4 linked regions of the Callithrix jacchus genome follow. The protein of the gene in region 1 interacts with the protein of each later gene in a pairwise test. Links are inferred from orthologs where the notes say so. Each region holds a gene or a part of one and is shown on either strand. Other genes may lie near its edges. The genes, in order: C7H1orf216, PSMC6, ODAD1 and CDR2.

The links.
Region 2: the proteins of C7H1orf216 (region 1) and PSMC6 interact in binary tests that used the Homo sapiens proteins (3 or more experiments, as listed by UniProt). The two-hybrid records come from large-scale screens. The link is inferred for Callithrix jacchus from reciprocal best matches to the Homo sapiens genes C1orf216 and PSMC6.
Region 3: the proteins of C7H1orf216 (region 1) and ODAD1 interact in binary tests that used the Homo sapiens proteins (3 or more experiments, as listed by UniProt). The two-hybrid records come from large-scale screens. The link is inferred for Callithrix jacchus from reciprocal best matches to the Homo sapiens genes C1orf216 and ODAD1.
Region 4: the proteins of C7H1orf216 (region 1) and CDR2 interact in binary tests that used the Homo sapiens proteins (3 or more experiments, as listed by UniProt). The two-hybrid records come from large-scale screens. The link is inferred for Callithrix jacchus from reciprocal best matches to the Homo sapiens genes C1orf216 and CDR2.

The regions. Positions count from the first base shown.
Region 1 is NC_133508.1:72,299,450-72,303,799, reverse strand, and holds the end of C7H1orf216 (UPF0500 protein C1orf216 homolog), read left to right. Parts: intron 1-925; 5' UTR 926-930; coding exon 931-1,620; 3' UTR 1,621-3,365; downstream 3,366-4,350.
Region 2 is NC_133509.1:87,258,843-87,265,077, forward strand, and holds the start of PSMC6 (26S proteasome regulatory subunit 10B), read left to right. Parts: upstream 1-2,551; 5' UTR 2,552-2,562; coding exon 2,563-2,647; exon of another isoform or gene 2,648-2,932; intron 2,933-3,659; coding exon 3,660-3,739; intron 3,740-3,833; coding exon 3,834-3,873; intron 3,874-4,119; coding exon 4,120-4,172; intron 4,173-6,235. UniProt on the Homo sapiens protein: Component of the 26S proteasome, a multiprotein complex involved in the ATP-dependent degradation of ubiquitinated proteins.
Region 3 is NC_133523.1:42,175,023-42,180,552, reverse strand, and holds part of ODAD1 (outer dynein arm-docking complex subunit 1), read left to right. Parts: intron 1-2,168; coding exon 2,169-2,332; intron 2,333-2,431; coding exon 2,432-2,529; intron 2,530-3,156; coding exon 3,157-3,235; intron 3,236-3,308; coding exon 3,309-3,851; 3' UTR 3,852-5,530. UniProt on the Homo sapiens protein: Component of the outer dynein arm-docking complex (ODA-DC) that mediates outer dynein arms (ODA) binding onto the doublet microtubule. Involved in mediating assembly of both ODAs and their axonemal docking complex onto ciliary microtubules.
Region 4 is NC_133513.1:22,964,778-22,970,865, reverse strand, and holds the start of CDR2 (cerebellar degeneration-related protein 2), read left to right. Parts: upstream 1-2,635; 5' UTR 2,636-2,939; coding exon 2,940-3,018; intron 3,019-6,088.

The sequences.
Region 1 (4,350 bases):
ATCAAACAGGGCCTTGTAGGCCACATAGAGGTTTAGCAGGAGTTCAGAGAGGGCACTTGGAGCAGTGACAAGTCAAATTTACATTTTTAACTGGAGGCAGAGCGATCAGTGAAAAGGCCGTGGCAATAATCCAAGTCAGAAATGGCCTGGAAGAGGAAGAATGGTCAGAACGTGGTTATCAATGAGATGGGAGAAGGAAAGAGAGTGAGGAGCCCAGGATGCTCCCAGCCTTCTGGATGGAGCGCAGAGCCATTTTGCTGAGGATACTGAAGAAGGAGAGTTTGTTTGGAATTTTTGGGGGGGTGGCGGGGGACGGATTCTCACTCTCACGCAGGCTGGAGTGCAGTGGCGCAATCTCAGCTCACTGAAATCTCAAGCGATTCTCCTGCCTCAGCCTCCCAAGTAGCTGGGATTACAGGCACCTGCCACCACGCCTGGCTAATTTTTGTATTTTTGGTAGAAATTGGGTTTTGCCATGTTGGCCAGGCTAGTCTTGAACTCTTGACCTCAGGTGAGCCACCGCACTCAGACTGGTTAAAAAGAATTTGAGGAGCTTATGGTTGGTTGCAGGGTTGGATAGCAGTTAGATCTGGGCTGAAGACCGATCTGAGAGTCACCAGCATATGATGGTCCTTGAAGCCACAGCAGAGAATGAGGTTATCTGGAGAGAAATGCACAAAATGAGAAGACAGCCTGGCTCTGAGGGCTGAGGAAAAACCCTCTGCAGGAGGCAGAGAATGAACAGGTAGATGGATGAACAGGGAGGATGAAAACCATGAAGGGAAGTGCTACCAGAGGCAAGAAAGGGTTTGACAGGGAGTGGCCAGGCTCTTGCTCGCAGCTTCGTCCCTGCAGCTAAGTTGCCCTGACTTAAGGTACTCTGCCCTGTCCTACTGTGACTCAGTCTCCTGCTTTCCCTTTACAGACCAGATGTTCGCCATCCAGCCAGGGCTAGCTGAGGGGGGGCAATTCTTGGGGGACCTGCCTCCTGGAGTATGTCAGCCTGAGCTCCAACCAGACAGCAACTCCAACTTCATGGCAAGTGCCAAGGATGCTAATGAGAATTGGCATGGGATGCCAGGCAGAGTGGAACCGATCCTGATGAGGAGCTCCTCTGAGTCGCCCTCTGACAACCAGGCCTTCCAGGCCCCTGGGTCCCCTGAGGAAGGGGTGCGCAGCCCCCCAGAGGGGGCAGAGATTCCCGGGGCTGAACCTGAGAAGATGGGTAGTGCTGGCACAGTCTGCTCCCCTCTGGAGGACAACGGCTATGCCAGCAGTTCCCTGAGCATCGACAGCCCTAGCAGCAGTCCTGAGCCTGCCTGTGGGACTCTGAGAGGCCCTGGCCCTCCTGATCTCCTTCTGCCCTCAGTGGCCCAGGCTGTGCAGCACTTGCAAGCTCAGGAGCGCTACAAAGAGCAGGAGAAGGAAAAGCACCACGTGCACTTGGTGATGTACCGTCGCCTGGCACTGCTGCAGTGGATCCGGGGCCTGCAGCATCAGTTGATTGATCAGCAGGCCCGACTGCAGGAGAGCTTCGACACCATCCTAGACAACCGGAAGGAGCTTATTCGCTGTCTCCAGCAGAGGGCAGCACCATCCAGGCCCCAGGACCAGGGCTAAGGGTGTGCCTCCACAAGTGTGCAAGGGTGTATGTGTATATTTGCAGGCATGTATGAGGTTGTGCCCTAATAAGTACATAATTATTTACTGGCATGATTGCAGGTAGGCATGAGTGTGAACGTGCTAACATGTAGGCAAGTGTGTGTAGGCATGTGTCAATAAGCATGTATAAATGAGCTTAAGTGCTGTGTGCACATGTGTACACACAAGCGAACTTATCTGCAGACCTACATGTAAGTGTGTAAGAGTGAACATATGTGTGTGTAGTATGTAAGAAGGAGGAAATCTGTATATGCGTGTATAGACAGGTACCCAGCAGTGTATGTATGTGCACATGAGTGAGGATGTATATGCAGAATATGTGTGTGTATATGAGTGAGTTTGAGTGTGCAGGCTTGTGTTGGGTGTATGGGAGAGAGCCGTCGTGTGTGCAGGGGTGCATGGGTGTGGGCACAGGCATGGGAGGTATAAGGAGCATGTGTGTTTGCAGGCAGACTCATGAGCAGGTGTGTGCAAATATATATCCAGCGGTACTAGTGCAGTGTCCATCCACACTTTGTGTCCCTCGTGGCCTACCCCAGCCTTTCTTCTCCCCTGAGTCTACTAGACAGAGGGCTAGCATGCTGTCATTTATCTGAGGGTTGTGGCTGATTCGTTCTCCTGGGATTTACAGGCCACCTTTCCTCTCCTTTTCCCTCACTAAACCCAGACTTGCTGAGCTACGGCTGTTTTCCCTGATGTTGGCTTTGCCGTAGGAGGTTTAGTGGCTGCTCTGGCCTGCCATGGCATTTTGGCTGCAATTTTATCAGGCAGTGGGTGGAGAACTGGTGTCAGGAAGGGGAACTAGGAGTAGTGATGGAGATGATGGTGGCATTGGGGACAGAGAAGGACATAGGGGACTGTCCCTCTTGAACTCTACCTTTGGGCACATGGGAGATGGGGACAGGGGAGATGGTAATAGTGGAACCCTGTGAAGAACAGGAGAATGGGAGTTCTAAAATACTAGTTCCCAAACAAACCATCTCTCCATTGGGAAAGGAGCTGTGGCAAACCCTGTTGATTTAAGCTTCTGATGAAAAGCAATGTGTATGTATAAGTTTGCAAGTAACAGACAAGATGTTCCAAGGCTGATAAGGAAAATATCACTTCCCTGTCTGTGCCTCTACCTTGCTGTGCCTCTCTGGCTTTACAGCATTGGATGTTGAATTGGTTTGGTCCATTTCTCTGAAGTCGGACTGTCAAGATGAGCCAGAGGTTGGCTTTCTGGGACAGGAAGGGGACAGTGTCAACCTAAACCTCTGGAAATGCTTAGGACGCTGAGTTTTAACCTCTTCTTTCACTGCATGGCCCTTCAAACAGGGATTGGCAGACTCCGTGAGTTACAGAGTGGGTGAGTCTTAAAATCAATGAGTAAGGTAGCTGAGCTCTCTGCTTTGTTCCTGGGAGCCAAGAGAATGCAGAATCCTGGTGGATGAGCAGTGGTATGAAGAGGGGACACTGATGAGTGAACAGTGGCATGGAAGTCACTGATGCAGCCTCTGGCCCTCAGTCTCCCAGGCAAAGTGGGAGAGCTCTTCCTGTCTATCTCTAAAGAGTTTTGTCCCTGATAGGTGGGTGGGCGAAAGGTCCAGGAAGCAGGGGTGAGGGGTGGGCCCTGAAGACTTCGTCTGCAGCTCTTGCATATTGAGTGTGTAAACCCAGCCTTTGGACCAACCCAGAATGAATAAACTGGGCAGAGAATTAAATTTCTTGAGTATGTGTTTTTCTTCTACCTGTTCTCTGGTGGTCTCTTTTCCACACCATCTGAGCTCCCCTTTTCAGTAGGGTCCTGGACGAGGAGGTGGGGGGTGGTTTTGGGGGAAGACACTGGAGAATGTAGACTGCTATACCTGATGACCCGATGGGGTGGGGAAGTCTCTCAGGGGCCTCCCAGTGTGACAGGGGAGACGGCCTCTACCCTGAGAGCCCCACTGGGATTGTCCTTGTGCCATGTCACCTTTGGGCCTAAGTGAATTGTGAGGGACACATATCATACACACTTTCACATACTCAACTGTATCTGGGCCATGCGCAGTGTAATCCCAGCACTTTTGGAGGCTCAGACAGGTGGATCACCTGAGGTTGGAAGTTCAAAACCAGCCTGGCTAAGATGGTGAAACCCCATCTCTACTAAAAATACAAAAATTAGCCAGCCATGGTGGCAGGCACCTGTAATCCCAGCTACTCAGTAGGCTGAGACAGGAGAATCACTTGAACCCAGGAGGTGGAGGTTGCCATGAGCAGAGATTGCACCATGGCACTCCAGCCTGGGCAACAAGAGTTAAACTCCATCTCAAAAACCAAAACAAAAAACTGTACCCTGGCATCATCACTTCCCCGAAGGGCACTGACTATGAAAGACTGAGTTCAGGTCCTTAGATGGTTTCGACACACATGTAGTTATAATATATAGTCATCTTTGGTATCTGAGGGGATTGGTTCCAGGACCCCCAGGGATATCAAAATTCACAAATCTGAAATATACTGCATTTTTTCTTTTTTTTGAGACAAGAGTCTTGCTCTGTCACCCAGGCTGCAGCAATCTCAGCTCACTGCAGCTTTCGCCTCCCAGGTTCAAGAGATTCTTCTGCCTCAGCCTCCCGAGTAGCTGGGATTACAGGCGTGCGCCACCACACCTGGCTATTTTTTGTATTTTTAGTAGAGACGGAGTTTCACCATATTGGCCAGGCT
Region 2 (6,235 bases), on another chromosome or scaffold:
CATTTCTTAGTCTTTTTATAATTCTGCTTACCTATCTTAGTGCCTGACATATTCATTCATTCAATATACATGTTTCTCTTTTACTTCAGACACTGGGCTAGACATTGGGAATACAATCAGGAGAAAGAACTAGTTTGTTTTCCGAGGGGTTACAGTCCACTGGTGGGAAAAGACTAAACATTTAGTCACATTTAAGAATATATAATTACAAGTTGAGCTACGTTTTCAAATGGAGAGAAATACAGTCTTATAGGCACATATAAAAAAGTAACAGAGCCAGGCGCAGTGGCGCATGCCTGTAATTCCAACGTTTTGGAAGGCCGAGGCAGGTGGATCATCTGAGCTCAGGAATTCAAGACCAGCTTGACCAACATGGTGAAACCCTGTCTCTACCAAAAATGCAAAAATTAGCCAGTCGTTGTGGCGCATACCTGTAGTCCCAGCTACTCAGGAGGCTGAAGCCAGAGAATTGCTTGAACCCGGGAGGTGGAGGTTGCATTGAGCTGAGATCTCGCCACTGCACTCCAGCCTGAGCGACAGAGCGAGACTTGGTCTCAAAAATAAAACAAAACAAAACTGTAACAGGGCTAGTGTAGGCATAGGGAAACTAGAAGATTCATCTGAAGTTGAAATGCTGCCAGATGGGTGAAAGAAAAAGAAAAAGGGTCAAAGTAGTTTAAAATATTCATGTGATTAATGCTAAAATAATCTATCAGTATGTGCTCCTAAAATTTGTTAAACTGAACCAAACTGAGCTATCTTTTTTCTCTGCCTTGTCCTCTCTTCACTTCTTGATGTCAGAGGTGACATATTCTGGTATCAATGGACTAGTTTGACCAGAGTAGTTGTGAGTGGGAGAAGGGACTATCTCTGCCCAATCCATCTTCTTTGTTCATTGTATACTGCAAGAACCCAATTGTATTTAGAAAAATAGAATGGAATCTTCACACAGTGCCCATGAGAATTGTTTCTAATAAATTTGAAGGCACCCTTTATGTGACTTTGGGTCATTAATTTAAGTAAATTTGTGCTTTATTTTTATATTTAGTATATACATATTTAAACTAAAACATTCATGGCCATTGGATAAGATCAAATGGAATCTATCTGGAGAATTTTACTGATTTTTTTGAGACAACAATTAACTGTCCCCAGGAACAATGATGGCAAGAGGTATAGCAATGAGGACCTGTACTGCAAAAATTGGGGTCATTACTACTCTTGAATAACTATTCAAAAGAACACTATTGAGTACTTACTATGTGGCAGATGTTGTGTTACCAGCTTTAGGCACATTATCCTAGTGAATACTCATGACAACCCTATTAGATAAGTGCAATTATTATGATCATTTTACAGAGATATTGAGGGAATATGTAATTTTCCCCAAATCACAAAAATCTGAAAGTTGGCCAGCCGTGATGGCTCACACCTGTAATCTCAGCACTTTGGGAGGCTGAGGCAGGCGGATCACTTGAGGTAAGGAGTTCAAGACCAGCCTGGCCAACACAGTGAAACCCTGTCTCTACTAAAAATACAAAAATGAGCTGAGCGTGGCGGCGGGAGCCTGTAATCCCAGCTCTCAGGAGGCACGAGAATTGCTTGAACCCGGGAGGCGGTGGTTGCGGTGAGCCGAGATTGCGCCACTGCACTCCAGCCTGTGTGACAGGAGCGAGACTCCATTTAAAAAAAATAATAATAATAATCTGAAAGTTCTATCAGCCTTCAGAGTTCCTGCCTCAGCCTACTTCCGCATCTTTATCTTGCACCCCACGTCTCTACAACCCACCCGCTACTGGTACCATTGGCCTTTCTGTTCCTGGAAGTGAGCCAAGCTTTCTACCCACATCCCGCCACCCCACCCCACTCCAGGACTTGTGCTTTCTGTTTCCTTTGTTTAGAAGGTTTGCTTCAGTTGTTGCAAGGCTGGTTTCATCTCATCTCAGATATCTGCTCTAGATTAATTTTTCCCACCATACTTCTCACCGTATTTTAATTCCTTCATAGTATTTGCTATACTCTCAAGGTTTTTTTTTAATTATTTCCCACCAAATCATAAGCAGATTTATTTTTAATACCTCATTCACTCACTGAAGGGTTGAATAAAACTGCCTACTTCTGAACGTGGAGGTCTTGGATAGCACTGTGGTATACGAAAGGCCATCTGTGTTGTGTCGACAGGCCATCGGAACTCTTTTGAGGTATTACACATTTCCTACTTCACTTTCATCTCATTTTATTACACAGCCTTTTATAGTTCCGGGACAGCAGTTAATACTGAGGCCTCTCCGGGGAAGACCGGGTAACTGCGTCCTGCTTTACCCATCTTGGCCTGCAGGGGACGGTGTGGTCGGAGTCCCCCTTTAGTGTACGCCGGCGTTCTAGGTGAACCAAGACATAGAGGTGGGAGAACTGAAGTAGAAAGGCGGGGCCAACAGGAAGGGGCGGGTCCATGGGCAAACCCACCCCTACAGGCCTGGTTTCGTCCCTTGCCCCGCCCCTTCCCCCGCCCTGACGGCCATGGCCATTCCCGGCATCCCCTATGAGAGACGGCTTCTCATCATGGCGGACCCTAGAGATAAGGCGCTTCAGGACTACCGCAAGAAGCTGCTTGAGCACAAGGAGATCGACGGCCGTCTTAAGGAGTGTGAGCGCACCCTTCTTTCTATGTAATCAAGTGCCTCGACTCGCTTCTGCCTCTAACAAAGTAGAAGCCTTTGGCCGAGCCCGGTAACCGAGACTTAGATATGACCAGGCCTCGGTCCAGGGACAAGGCGCTTTGTCATCCGGCCCTGAGCTTGGGGAGCAGCACTCCTTCGTGTGTAGAAATGGCCCAGTCCAGTCCAAGTGACAGAACATCCGCGGCCCTGAAGTGGAAATGAAAAAGAACTAGAGGAGGAGTGGGAAGAAGTAGGCCGAGGATGTTACTCAGGTTAGGGTGCAAGGAGGGCAGTGTTTTTGGAGTCCTGGGACTCGAAGAGGGGAAGGCGCTTGAGTCAAGGAAGCTCAAACAAGAGATGAGACTCAGGGAGTCGGCTTGTTGGAAGTAAAAGACGGCCGCGGAGCTTAAGAGAGAAGGGTTCCAGTTGTCACAATAACCCATTTCGTCTTTTGTCGTGTTTCCTGTTGTACTGTATCAAGGCATACAAATTTCCCTTACCTCTTGAGGGCTTAACTTTTTTTTTTTCCAGTGCATTTTCATTGAAAAGCATGAGTGGTTTAATTAAATGAAGGAGGACTGTAACTAAGTGATTCTGTGGAGAACTCCATTTTTTGACTTGAGGTTAGAATATCAGAGAAGAATCCAAGTGGGTAGGTGAATAGGTGAGGAAGGGTCTAACTAACTGATTATCATTCGGATTTGTAGTCGCAAATCCTAAGTGTCAATGTGTCAATATCTGTTAAGAATATAACTTAATGTGCTTAAACAAGTGTTGCCGATCAAGAAAATAAAATTACGGTGCTTTCTCTGAAACATTTTTTTGTTGTACATGCCACCTACTATTACAAACAGCATTGTTTCTTTTGTGGTTTGAAATAGTGGATGTGAAACTTAGGTAAAGTGAAATAGACTTAAGTAAACACTAAAGTGAGATTTAGCGATTTAAACACATTAAGATTACTGTTCAACTAAAAATGTTCAAATTGTATTATTTCAGTAAGGGAACAATTAAAAGAACTTACCAAGCAGTATGAAAAGTCTGAAAATGATTTGAAGGCCCTACAAAGTGTTGGGCAGGTAGGTAATGGAGTTTGGGGATTAGCGGGTGATGGTAATTTGCTTTTTTATTTAGGTGTTGCCAAAAAGTAATGCTTTTTATTTTCTTCCTTAGATTGTGGGTGAAGTGCTTAAACAGTTAACCGAAGAAAAATGTGAGTGAATTTAGATTAGTAATTAGTAAAGAAACAGCTCACCTCTCTCTAACTTTTGAAATGCATATTATTTCAAAATGCATAATGACACTAATGCAGAGAGAGAGTATTTTTGCATAGACTTAAGTTTGTCTTCAACTATTGTCTTCTTGGAGGACAGAAAATAAAACTAAGCCCTCTATCAATGTGGATATGTATTTTTTTACTTTGTTTTTCAATTACTTCTTTTTTGTTTTTTTCTTCTAGTCATCGTTAAAGCAACAAATGGACCGAGATATGTTGTGGGTTGTCGTCGACAGGTAATACTTTTTATTTGTCTAGTGCTTGCTGATTGATAAAAGCAGTTTCATGTAAGTTATTGTCTCTAATTCTTGAGGCAAACAGGTTGGGCATTTATGCCCATAACTGACAAGGGTGATTTGTTCAGACATAGCTAGTTATTAACAAAGCCTGAATTCAAACCATAGGCTTTGACTCCTGGCATTCTCTACTTTCTACTGTATTACATTGTCTCAGTCAGATCTATTAACAGTGACTTAGAAATCAGTGTTTTAGAACTGGAAAATAGGCATTTTATGTTAGTATCTTTTTCATGTGTGTGTGTGAGAGACAATATCACTCTGTCACCAGGCTGAAGAGCAGTGGCACGATCTTGGCTCACTGCAACCTCCAACTCCCTGGTTCAAATGATTTTCCCTGCCTCAGCCTCCAGAGTAGCTGGAATTACAGGCATGCACCACCATGCCCAGCTAATTTTTTTTTTGTATTTTTAGTAGAGACTGGGTTTCGCCATGTTGGCTGGGATGGTTTTGATCTGACCTGGTGATCCACCTGCCTCGGCCTCTTAAAGTGCTGGGATTACAGGTGTGAGCCACAACACCTGGCTTTAATGTCATTTTTAAAGAGGACTTAGAAGTGTTAGATACGATCAGTTACCTGTGTTTATATTTCAGCATTCAGAACTGTTACTGATAAGACTGTACCATGGCCTAAGTTAATTTTGTATGAGGTCATTTAGATTAGGGTAGGACAAGTTGAAATAATTCTGAATTTTATTTTACCGTCACTAAAGATGCCAACAAATGACCTCAGGTCATTCAGTAGTGTCTGAAATCAATTTATGTACTATAGGAAGTGTCCTTAGGTAGAGACTTCTTTTAAATTCATTGGAAGAGCTCTGTGTAATTGTCATTTTGGGTTCGGATTTTAAAACATTCACAGGACATGGCTGTAGGGGAGAATTTAATCCAGGGAATAAATCTTGTATTAAGATTTTGCCTAGTATATTAAGTGGTTGACATTTTTTAAGTCAAACTATTAGATACCTAAACTGACAAGGGGTTTTTATGTCCGTTTCAGGGCTTTCTGGATGCCAAAAGTTGGCATTAAGATATTTCAGGTTGCATGAGGACAAGACAATATTTGAAAACTAGAAAACATTAGAAAAGCCAAGGTATATATAAGTTGAGTATCCCTTATCCAAAATACTTGAGCCAGAAATATGTTTTATACTTTGGCTTTTTTCAGATTTTAGAATATTTGCATTATATTGGTTGAGCATCTCTAATTAAAAAATCCAAAATTTGAAATGCTCCCATGAGCATTTTCTTTGAGCATCATGTCAGCACTCAAAAAATTTCACATTGTGGAGCATTTTGGATTTTCAGATTAGGAATACTCAACTTGTATTCCCTGCAGATGTAAACATTGAAATGGCTTCATATTGATCTCTCCTCTTCTTTTTCCAAGTATCCTTGCTTTTTAGCAGTTTTTTTTCTTGTTATATTAATCCTAGTGTTTTGACTATCTTCCTAAGTTTAAAGCTCTTTGTAAAATCTTGTGACAAGTTGTCAGTAATTTATGTGATTCTGAAATTGTATTGGCAAGCAGTTTTTTAAAACTATTAATAAGTAACTTTGTCTTTGAAAAATAACAACATCCTGAGTGTGAGGCGAATCTATTAGATGCAATGCCGTCTATAATTTTAGGCAGATATGCCAAGAAATTATTTAGTGTGATTCAGCTTAATGTGTAATGTGCTCAGCATATGCCTATAATGTTGCAAAGGCATGAATGATGGTTGCTGGGCTTTGGGCTTTAATTTTAAAGCATTTTAATACAAATCTCTAAGTGGATATAGTACATTTCCTCCTATTCTCATGATCATGTAACACACATTCTTCCCAGAAACCATGCATTTCAGAATAAATCTGATGAGCACACCTTTATTTATTTTATTTTATTTTTCTACCTAACCAGTGTGCTAAGAGCACACCTTTAAAATGCTTCCCTTTCCTTTCCCTACAATGTATATTAACGAGTTTTTCTATAAGTGTTTTGGTAGCAATTCTCACAGTCACTG
Region 3 (5,530 bases), on another chromosome or scaffold:
CCTCAGGTGATCTGCCTGCCTTGGTCTCCCAAAGTGCTGGGATTACAGGTGTGAGCTGCCGCACCTGGCCTTAAAATTTTTTTTTAAATTTTAAAAAATTTAGTTATCTTTTGAGAGGAGTTTCATTCTTTTGCCCAGGCTGGAGTGTAGTGGTGCAATCTCAGCTCACTGCAACCTCCACTTCCCAGGTTAAAGCAATTCTCCTGCTTCAGCCTCCCTAGTAGCTGGGATTACAGGCAGTTGCCACCATGCCTGGCTAATTTTTGTATTTTTAGTAGAGAAAGGGTTTCACCATGTTGGCCAGGCTGGTTTTAAACTCCTGACCTCAAGTGATCCACCTGCCTTGGCCTCTAGGCATAAGCCACTGTATTTTTTTTTTTCTTTTTTTTTTCTAGGTTGATGAGATGGATCCTCCTGAAAAAAAAATTTTTTTTAGAGGTGGGATCTTCCTATGTTGTCCAGGCTAGTCTTGGCCTCTTGGACTCAAGCCATCCTCCTGTCTTGGACTCCCAAAGTGCTGGGATTACAGGCATGAGCCACCATGTCTGGCCATTTTTTTTTTTTTTTTAATCCTTTCTGTGGGTATCAGTTGCATCTACCTGTGTGTCTTCCCATCCTTTTTTTTTTCTATTATTATTATTATTTTTAAAAATTTGAGTGCCGTGGAGTGACCTTCACTCACTGCAGCCTCCCTCTCCTGGGTTCAAGCAATTCTCCTGCCTCAGCCTCCTGAGTAGCTGGGATTACAGGCACACGCCACCATGCCCAGCTAATTTTTATATTTTTAGTGGAGACAGGGTTTTGCCATGTTGGCCAGGTAGTTTCAAACTCCTGACTTCAGGTGGTCCATTCGCCTCGGCTTCCCAGACTGCTGGGATTACAGGCGTGAGCCACCGCATCCGGCCCCATCTTTCTTATTTTGGGGGACGTAGCCATGCAGAGCACTGAGTCGTCAGGCTGTCCTGATTTTTTTAAAATTTATTTTCATTTTTAGTGTTGTTTTGAGACAGAATCTCACTCTGTTGCCTAGGCTGGAGTGCAGTGGTGTGATCTGGGGTCACTGCAACATCCGTCTCCCGGGTTCAAGTGATTCTTCTGCCTCAGCCTCCACAGTAGCTGGGACTACCCTACCATGCCTGGCTAGTATTTTTTGTATTTTTAGTAGAGATGGGATTTCATCATGGTGGCCAGGTTGGTCTCAAACTCCTGACCTCAAATGATCTGCCTGCCTCGGCCTCCCAAAGTGCTGGGATTACAGGTGTGAGCCACTGGGCCCAGTCTGTCCTGGGTTTGAATCTCATCTCCACCAACTGTGAACCTTGGTGTGTGGCTTCCTCCTTCTGAGCCCCTCTGGGAATGGGGATGGCAGTGCTTACTTTGCAGCGTTGTCATGGGAATTAGAAGGGATGACGGATGGAGAGAGGTGGGGTGTGGTGGGGAGTGAGCTGGACAGCGAGCTCGGGGCACAGTCGGAGTCCACATACGGGCAGGTCCTCCTTCCCTCTGTTGTGATGGCTGTGCCGAGCCCTGTGCTAGGTGCTGTGGGCACAGTGGGAAGAGGCCCTGGAGGGGCTGACCTGGGCACTGGGCACTCATCACTGTGCTAGGTGCTGTGGGCACAGTGGGGAGAGGCCCTGGAGGGGCTGACCTGGGCACTGGGCACTCATCACTGTGCTAGGTGCTGTGGGCACTGTGGGGAGAGGCCCTGGAGGGGGCTGACATGGGCACTGGGCACTCATCACTCGGGCTAGGATGGAGGACACCCAGGCGAGAGGAGGCCCTAACTCAGTCTGTGGTGCAAGACCATCATTTGTGGGGCCCAGTGCAGAATGAGGGGCCCCTTGTTAAAACATTGCCGAGACTTTCAAGATAGGAACCCCTCACCACTGCCTGGGTCTCACACTCACGAAGCTGGCTCTGTGGGGGTGACTGGGAAGGCTTCCTGGAGGCAGTGACACTTGAGGCTGATTTTGAAGGACCAGCCAGGGAGGGGGACACACAGCAGTGCCCTCCCCCTGCCTGGCTGGCTGAGCTCGGGTAAGTCCCTTTTAGTCTGTGAGCCTTGACTGCAGTCTCTGTAGAATGAGGCAGTGGGGACCTGCGTAGGGGGAGGGATGGCACCCAGCCAGCGCTGCCAGATCCCTGACAGCTGGCCCTCCGTGACGCAGGTATCCAGCTCCTCTTCACCAAGGCCTGTTGTGATGGCAGCATGATCGACGACCTCCTTGGGGTCAAGACCAGCATGCGAGACCGGGACCTAGGCCTCTTCCTGAGCCTCATCGAGAAGCGGCTGGTGGAGCTCCTCACAGTGCAGGCCTTCCTGAATGCCCAGGTCGGGGGCACAGGGAGCCAGGGTGGGGTCTGCAGGGAGCAGGGCAGGAGGCAGGCCTCGGGGTGGGCCCCAGCTGACCACAGGCTCCATGCTCTCCAGAACTTCACCTCCTTGGCCAATGCTGCCCTCCTGGTGCTGGGCCAGAACCTAGAGGATCTTCCGAAGAAGATGGCTTCACTTCGGCCCCCTGACAATTTGTGAGGCATAAGGCAGGAGGGATGCAGAGGGGAAGGGGCTTCCATCGGAGCAGAGGGAGCACACAGGGTAGAGAGTTTTGGGGGGCTTTTGGGAACTAGCTGGTGGATGGGGTCCTAGGGGGTTAGAAGATGAAGTGTGGCCGGGCACAGTGGCTCATGCCTGTAATCCCAGCACTCTGGGAGGCAGAGGTGGGCGGATCATGAGGTCAGGAGTTTGAGACCAGCCTGGCCAACATAGCAAAACCTTGTCTCTCTACTAAAAATATGAAAATTAGCCAGGTGTGGTGGTGTGCGCCTGTAATCCCAGCTACTCAGGAGGCAGAGGCAGGAGAATTGCTTGAACCTGGGGAGGTTGTGGTGAAGCAAGATCATGCCACTGCACTCCAGCCTGGGCAAGAGAGTGAGACTCCATCTCAAAAAAAAAAGATGAAGTGTGTGCTTCAAAGGAGCCAGAGGAGTAGGGTTTGGCGCCTGTGTGGGAAGACGGGGCCCCGAGTACGCCAGAAGGGGAGGGCACTCAGGGCTGGTGGGAGAATGGCTGAGGTTCCTTGAGTTTATTAGGAATGGCCACTGGCCTTTTTGAGGACTAAGAGTCTACTCTTTTCCGGTTTTCCTTCCCCTCCCCAGAGAAGACCCCCCGGGTTTTGAGGCCAGAGATGACTACCCCATGAGCAGGGAGGAGCTGCTGAGCCAGGTGGAGAAGCTGGTGAGAGTGGGACCCACGGGGTTGGGGCCAGGCCTCAGTGTGCATCGGAGGGTCCAGCTCACCTTCCCTGCAGGTGGAGCTCCAGGAGCAGGCAGAGGCACAGCACCAGAAGGACCTGGCTGACGCCGCTGCAAAGCTGGACGGCACCCTGGGCATGGACCTAGCCAGCACCCAAAGGAACGGCTCCAGCACCGCCCTGGTGCCCTCCTTGCAGCCCCATGCCATCCCCGGGTCCATCTTGAGCCAGGGGACTAGCAAAGACCGCAGCTCTCATGGCCGTGTCACTTTTGGCCCCCTCAGCCCCAGTGCAGGGCATTTGCCCAGCCACACCACCCACAGTGACCCCAGCACTGGCCACGTGACCTTGGGCTCCACCAGTGCCTCGAGTGGGGGCCACATGACTTTCAGACCTGTCAGTGCCAGCAGCTACCTGGGCTCTACGGGATACGTGGGGTCCAGCAGAGGTGGAGAAAGCACGGAGTGGGGTGTGGAGAGCGGAGGCACCACATCCGAGTCCAGCGGAGGCCTCAGGTCCAGCAGAGGCCATGCCTCCAGCCCCGGCCCCGCCTCCAGCACGGGCCCTGGCTCCTCCAGCAGCAAAGACTCCCGGGGCTAACACGATGGGCACGAGTCCCCACCCTGCCCTGGCTCTCTGTGGGGTCTCTTGTGTCTCTGCTTCTCTGTTTGCCTTGTGGGTCTGTCTTCTCCCAGTCCTAGGCCTCTGTCTTTTTGCCCCCCACCTGTTTCCATCCTCCCTTCCTCACTGCCTCGTCTCTGTCTCCCCGTCCTTCTCTCTGCTCCTGACCCTGCTTTTCCTTCTGCCTCCCGACTTCCTGTTCTCTTGGTTTCCTGGTCAGTCTCTCCGTCTTGTCTCCATATGTGCCCTTTCCCTGTCTGCGGAGCCCTGACTCCCTGTGGTCCCCCACCTCCTGCTTCTGGCTCGCTTTCCTGTCTCCATCTCCCAGGCTCTCCATGCATCCTGTGTCCCTGTCTCTGTAGCTCCTCACTCCCCAAGAGCCCTCCAGTGCTGACAGGCGGGGGAAAAGTCAGCGCCAAGACGCCAGAGTCAGCATGGCAAAATGGGAGTGCGGGAAATAAAGTATCTGTGTGGAGAGCAGGCTTCAGGCATGGCTGCTTCCTCCACCTCCAGCCTGGGGGGACATCTGTGACCCTGTCCCGATTCCCTACCATTCATTCATTCACTTTTTTTTTTCTTTTTGAGACAGTTTCCCTCTTGCCACCCAGGCTGGAGTGCAGTGTCACGATCTCGGCTCACTGCAGTCTCCGCCTCCTGGGTTAAAGTGATTCTCCTCCCTCAGCCTCCTGAGTAGCTGGGATTATAGGCGCCTACCACCACTCCCGGCTAATTTTTGTATTTTTAGTAGAGATGGGGTTTTGCCATGTTAGCCAGGTCGGTCTTGAACTCCTGACCTCAGGCAATCTGCCTGCCTCAGCCTCCCAAAATGTTGGGATTACAGGCGTGAGCCCCCACACCCAGCCTATTCATCCATTTTTCTGAGACCTCCACATGCCAGGCTCTTCTGGAGCTGTGTTGGTCACAGCAGGCTTGGCTGTGTGGCAGTCACAGCTGCAGGTTCTCCGTGGTCCTCATGCAGCAGAGGTTTCTCTCCTTTGTGGGCCAGCCAAGCACTCTGCTCCATATCACCCATGTGCCCTGGGCCCATGGCACAGCCATCATCTGGAGTGCTGCCAGCCCTTGGGCACTGGGAAGAAGAGAAGATGGCACAGCAGGCAGTGACTCCTGAAGCTTGGACCTGATAGGACACCTGTCCCCTCTGCTCATACTCATTAGCCAGAGCAGGTCACCTGGTCACGCCCAGCTTCAAAGGGGTGCTGGGAAGCACAGTCTGTGTGTGTTTCTGGAAGGAGAGAAAGGAAGGATTATTTATCGACATCCTTAATGCCAGCCACAGGGTCACAGAGAAAAAGCTGACCCTGACCCTCTCCTGCAGCGGGGCTGGGTGTAGGATTTAGAGGGCTGAGAACACCATGGATAACTCTTTCCTGTAGTTGAGTCATGCAAAATGCCCTGTCAAGATTTAATCCATTGGTATCAAGCTATATAAAAACTTTAAAAAAAATTCAGGCTGGGCGGCCGAGCATGGTGGCTCACGCCTGTAATCCCAGCACTCTGGGAGGCTGAGGTGGGAGGATCACCTGAGGTTAGGAGTTTGAGACTAACCTGACTAACATGGAGAAACCCCGTCTCTAGTAAAAATTCAAAATTAGCCGGCACAGTGGTGCATGCCTGTGATCCCAGCTACCGTGGAGGCT
Region 4 (6,088 bases), on another chromosome or scaffold:
CCCAACTTGCTCTCTTTCCAAAGGGCTCTATCTGTAGTGATTAAGATAGTTGGTTTTAAGTGATCTTAGTTGAACTCTGAACTAATATCTCCATCTGAATATGGACTAGGGCAGTAGAAGAGGCTTCACAGGGGACCTCAGTTTCTTTCTTTTTTTCTTTTCCTTTTTTTTTAGAGACAGAGTCTCACTCTATTGCCCAGGCTAGAGTGCAGTGCAACCTCGGCCTCCCAGGTTCAAAAGACTCTCATGCCTTGGCCTCCTATATAGCTGGGATTACAGGTGACTGCCACCACACCTGGCTAATTTTTGTATTGTTAGTAGAGATGGGCCACCTTATTGGCCAGGCTGGTCTCAAATTTCCAACGTCAGCCTCCCAAAGTGCTGGGATTATAGCCGTGAGCCCCTGCACTGGGCCTTTTTTTTTTTTTTTTTTTTTTCTCCAGACAGGGTCTTGCTCTGTTGTCACCTATCTTAGCTCACTGTAACCTCGAACTCCTGGGCTCAAGCAATTCTCCCACCCCAGCTTCCCAAGTAGCTGGGACTACAGGTGCACCAGTAACATTTTGTCTTTTTGAAGAAAGGGTTTTGTGAGTTTACCATTCCTCTTTTATTATTATTATGACTAACACTGTTATTACTTCTACATTTTTTGCTTGGCATCCTACTGTAAGAAAGCTTTCTTTTCTTATTTATATCAGTATGGACTCATGGATTCTTCGATTCAATGGGTTATAATCCATTACTATGATTATTGTGATGCTCATAATTGGTCCTCAAGGGTACCTGCACTTTTACAGTATCCATCACAAGCACACAGCCTTACATTTAAAAAGAGCACAAAATACTTGCTTTCAGGGTCTTTGATTCACATAGCTTTGTGAGCAAGGCAAACATAATCATCTTTCCTGTAAACTGTTTGCTAAAAGGCTTCTCTGCTGGTACTAAGTATGGCAAGAACTCCAGGTTTTCTCACTCTAGGTCCCTTGTGCTTTCCACTCTATTCAGCAGTCGCCTTTAAGGACTTCAGGCAACAACTCCACAGTAAGGAGGTTTTCTTGTCCCTGGCAAGACTTCTCCAGAGTAGCCTACAGCCTCTGCGTAAGGTAACCCTGGAGTCAAGTGCTGTTTGATAAGGCATCAGCACTGATCTGAGCAAAGATGGGAGGTGGAGAGACACCTAAATTTTATTACCCACAAGAATTATTTTGTTACCCACAAGAATTATTTAGGATGCGTTTCCCTCTCTTTCAAATTACCCGTCTTTATTCTTTTACACAGAAAGACAAAAGTAGCCTTGAGTCTACAATTCCTTCCCTACAATTTCCCTTATTTTTAATTGTGCAAGTATCTAAAAAAGTAAGATCACAGGAGGGTTTATAACAAAAAGTCCCCAGCCCCAACTCAATCCTCCCCTTAGGGAAACTCTTAATTGCTCCCATTTTCAGTTCTGGCAGCTCTCTCCATATTTGTGGAAACGATTTGTTGGATTATCAATGTAAGGTATTATCTGCCGACTCACTGCTAAAATAGATCAGGATTTAACTAACACTCCTCTCCACTTCTAACAATTATTACCTTATGTTCTAATCTTTGAATTATATACTTAAACCTCGATTTTTTTGTTGTTGTTTTGTTGCTCAAACTTAGCAAGATACTGGTTCTGCTGTCTTCCATCGGCTGCACCTTTGCCTTTACTTCAAGGTTGAGAACATTGACCTTCAGGTCTGTCATCCTGCTTAAGAGTTTCCGTGCTTTGTCTGCAAGATGGTGCTAAAAGCTTAACCCACGAGCAGTATTTGCTGGGTTTTGTCGGTGGAGGACAGACAGCGTGCTCTGCCTCGCTGGCTACCAAGTGCTGGGGCTGCAGCCTGTCCCCTCCAGGTGCAATGTCATGTCCCCAGATGCTTAACTTGTGGTCTACGGGTACCTTTTAAAACTCGTATGCAACACTGCTTGCAATTTTTTCCTTCCAAGTGGACTGCTTCGGGCATCCCTCCCCGCCCCAAATTCTCAAGGGGGTCTGGCACCCACCGTTTTAGGGAGCGTCAGAACAATTCCCAGGGCTCAGATATCAAGGAGACAAAAGCTACCGCTCAATGGGCGTTTTCTTAGCCCTAAACTCCCGATCGACCCCGAGTCTCCCCGCCAGATTCGGAGCAAATCTGAGTCAAGATGCGAGAGGGGCGAGCGGGCGGCGGACCAAGCGCTTCTGGCACCCTTGCGCCTCCCGCCGGCACGAAGGACTTCCCTGGACAACCGCTCAACTCTCAGAGGTCGGAATTCTAGACCCTCAGGCCCTCGTTGCCTATCCACGGACGCGCCGGCCTCGGGACACCCACCGCAGGGGTAGGACGCGGCGCGGCGGGCTCCACAGCCCAGACCCCAGAACACGCTCCTAGGAGCCGCACCGCGCAGATCAGGGGGCGGGCTTTCGGCCGCACCCCTTCACTCTTTCCCCGCCTTCTTTGTTTATTCCGGGCCCGACATTGGCTGCATGCCCTCGAGACCGGGCGAGCCGCGCGCCTTTGGAGAGACGCGATTGGGCGAAGTCGCTGCCGCTCGGCCAGCGGCCCGCTCCCGATTGGTTGAGGAGCCGCCGGGGGTTTGAATCGCATCCCCAGCCGGGGAGGGTTCTGCCAAAGTGCCACGTTGGGCCCGGCGGCGGCGTGAGGAGCCGGCTCGGGGCCCTCGCGTCGGAACGCCCAGCCGTTGGGGCCGTTGGGGCCGTTGGGTGGCGCGACGCGAGTCAAGGAGGCGGCCGGTCGGTAGCGGCCGCCGGCGGGAGCAGGGCTGAGGCGGAGTGGCGGAGCCTGGGCGGCGGCGCGTCCCACCCGAGGGCGGCTCTGGCTGAGGGCGGAGGGACCGGGGGAGAGCCCGGGGCAGCGGCTGAGGTGGGACGGCGGCGGTGGGAGCCGCTGCCCCCGGAGGACCCAGCGGAGATGCTGGCGGAAAACCTGGTGGAGGAGTTTGAGATGAAGGAGGACGAACCGTGGTACGACCACCAGGACCTCCAGCAAGGTGAGGGCGGGGGCGCCCCTCGGGCGGGCGGGTGGCGGCCTGGCCCAGGAGGCTCCCGATGCGGAACTGTTAAAAAGTTGCTTTCTCTGGCGGTGGAGGATGCAGGTGCCGGGAAGGGCTCGGGCGCACCTGGCGGCGGGGCCGGCGGTGCCTGCGGATCCCGCCCGCAGGAAGCCTCGGCGCGGGGCCCACGGCCCTGCAAATACGCAGTTCAATATCGGCCCCAGGGCGCGTGGGGGCCAGCGGCGCGCCAGGCACCGTTTTAAGCGCTTTCCCTGGATTAACTGGTTTAATCTTCGCTGCATTCCTCCAAGACAGACCCGGGTGAACCAGGTGCCCCGCAGTAAGTGGCCGAACCCGGGAAGCCGCCCCCTCGCAGCCTGTCGACCCCAGCGCCTTTCATGGCCAGCGCGGAGGGCCGGCCGCTGCAGGTGGTGGTGGTTTTGCGCCTAGCGGGAGCTGTGTGCTCCGCACGTAACGGAACTCCAGGAAGCAGTAACTTTTCAAAAATTTATTTTTTAATGTTTGAGGGTACATAATAGGTGTATATATTTATGGGGTACATGAGATGTTTGGATACAGGCTCACATTGTGAAATAAGCACATGATGGGAAACGGGGAGTCCATCCCCTCCAGCATTTATCCGTTGAGATACTAACAAACCAATTACACTGAAAGTAACTTTTGTTACCCCATTTTCCAGATGGGAAAGGGGAGGCTCAAATGGTTAAGTCGCTTGCCTAAAGCTAAGTGTGGAGGGAGTGTTTTTTGAACCACACACTCGGAATTGTAGTCACTGCTCAAACCCCATCTCTTCTTTTCCATCCTAGTTTACAGCTTTTTTCAATTGGGCGTTAAGCTGTTAGACATAGTTCACCAGATGCCAATTGAAACGGCAGAAGAGCCCTTCTACCTCTGTCACTTCAGTTTGCATGCCAGCTTTCACTTAGAAACAGGCCTGCCGGTGGTGTCTCCAGAGAACAATCGTAGAGCGGCCCGCACTTTGGGACCAGTGGGCCCCCCTTTTTTTCATACTAATAGGAGCTAGCAGTTGGGAAACACTTTTTATGTGCCTAACACTGATAAGCCCATAACACAGTTGCTCATTTAATTCTCCTGGTAACACAATAGAGGTAGTAATGTTGGGGAGTGCTAGGGTTCCCCTTAAGACTCCAGAACATTCTTAACCACTGTGCTGAATACTGAATAATCCTCAAGAATTTTTCCAGGCATCTTCAGTTTCTGTAATTTTGTGTAAATGCTTTCACTAATCTTGCAGTGAAAATTAACATCTCATTTAGTTGAATATTAAATGATCATGATGCTTGTTCATGCTAACCGAACGTGGCAGAAGAAAAGAATCTAGACTTGAATAATTCAGAAAAGGATAATAAGCACCTCTTTTGGAGGAAGATAATTTCTTAAATTAACGTGCAATCACTTTAACCAAAGTAATTCACCTTATTATGCCTATAGACTCCAAGCTACTTAGTGGTTGCCGTGCAGTGTTCGGCACCATCTTCTTTAGGTCAAAAAGACAAATCTGTCATACATTTTAACAAACCTGTTTTCAGATTTCCCCATAAGGATTGATGGCCTAGTTTGATAGTTTCTCCAGGATTTATGAGGCAACCACTGTGCCATTGCAATATTTCCCTATAATTTAAGCAATCTGTATCATCATAACTAAATATTTTTCTTTCTTGTATTTAAGAAGCATAAATCTTTAAGGGAATAGAGGGGGTAGGTTCCTTTTTCAGGTTATTTCCAGCATCTAGCATAATACTTGTTACATACTGGAAGCCCAATTTTAATATTTGTTGAACTGAACTAAAGCACTCACACAAAATTGTTTTCCATGGCTCTCTTCCATCAGGTACCTTACTCCACGCTGCATTCTCCCGCTGTGGGAGATTGTTAGGAACAACTAGCTGTAACACTTCAGTCTACTGAGAAGCAAGTGCAAGGTGTCAGGGTTGCAGGTGGAATTCTCTTTAACCTCTGATCAAAATAAAGTCATTAGCTCTTCAAGTTTAACAAACCTTAAAAACACAGGTCTGGGCTGGGTAGAGTGGCTCACACCTGTGATCCCTGCACTTTGAGAGGCCGAGGCAGGCGGATCACCTGAGGTTGGGAGTTCGAGACCAGCCTGGTCAACATGGTAAAACTCCGTCTCTACTAAAAATACAAAATGAGCTGGGCGTGGTGGCGGGCGCCTGCAGTCCTAGCTGCTCTGGAGGCTAGGCAGGAGAATCGTTTGAACCTGGGAGGCAGAGATTGCAGTGAGCGGAGATGGCACCCTTGCACTCCAGCCTGGACAAGAAGAATGAAACTATGTCTCAAAAAAACAACACATAGGTCTGAACCTCTTTACTGCCAGTTGCATTTCTGTGTTTTTCAAAGGGCTGTTACATTTTCACAGTGGACTTTGACATAACCCTCTATGTCATAACTATATGGGGTATGAATAGAGGATGTCAAATTCCAATAATTATAACTTGTCAATATGGCCTGTCAAAGAATAAAGGCTATAATGTGAATAAAAGGGTATCCTTTCCCCAGTTTTGCTAAATTATGTGTTAACTCCTAAGCTTTTAACAGATTTTAAAACATTCATTTCTTAAAAATGTATTATCTGCTCTTTGCCAGGTATTCACCTAGGCACTGGGGCCACAGCGCCTCCCCACATGAGAGGATAGGCAGGACTCCTACTCCCATAGAGTCAATGTTTCAGGAAATCTGTTCACTAGAGAAGCCTGGAGGTGCCACCTCATGGGCTGTGCCCACTACAGTGCCTGACATTGTAGGTCCTCAGTAGACACTTGCTGCTGAATTAAGTTTGGGAGCAGGTTTGCCCTGTTAAACAGAAGTATTCCGCAGATCTAGTGGGATTTTATGTGCAGGCATCTGTCTGCAGTTTTTAACATCCTCATTATTACTGAGCAAGGCTTATTTGGAGAGAACTGCTGAAAATAACTTTTTTTTTTTTTGAGGCGGAGTCTTGTTCTGTCCCCAGGTTGGAGTATAGTGGTGCGCTCTCGCTGTTGGCTCACTGCAACCTCCACCTCCC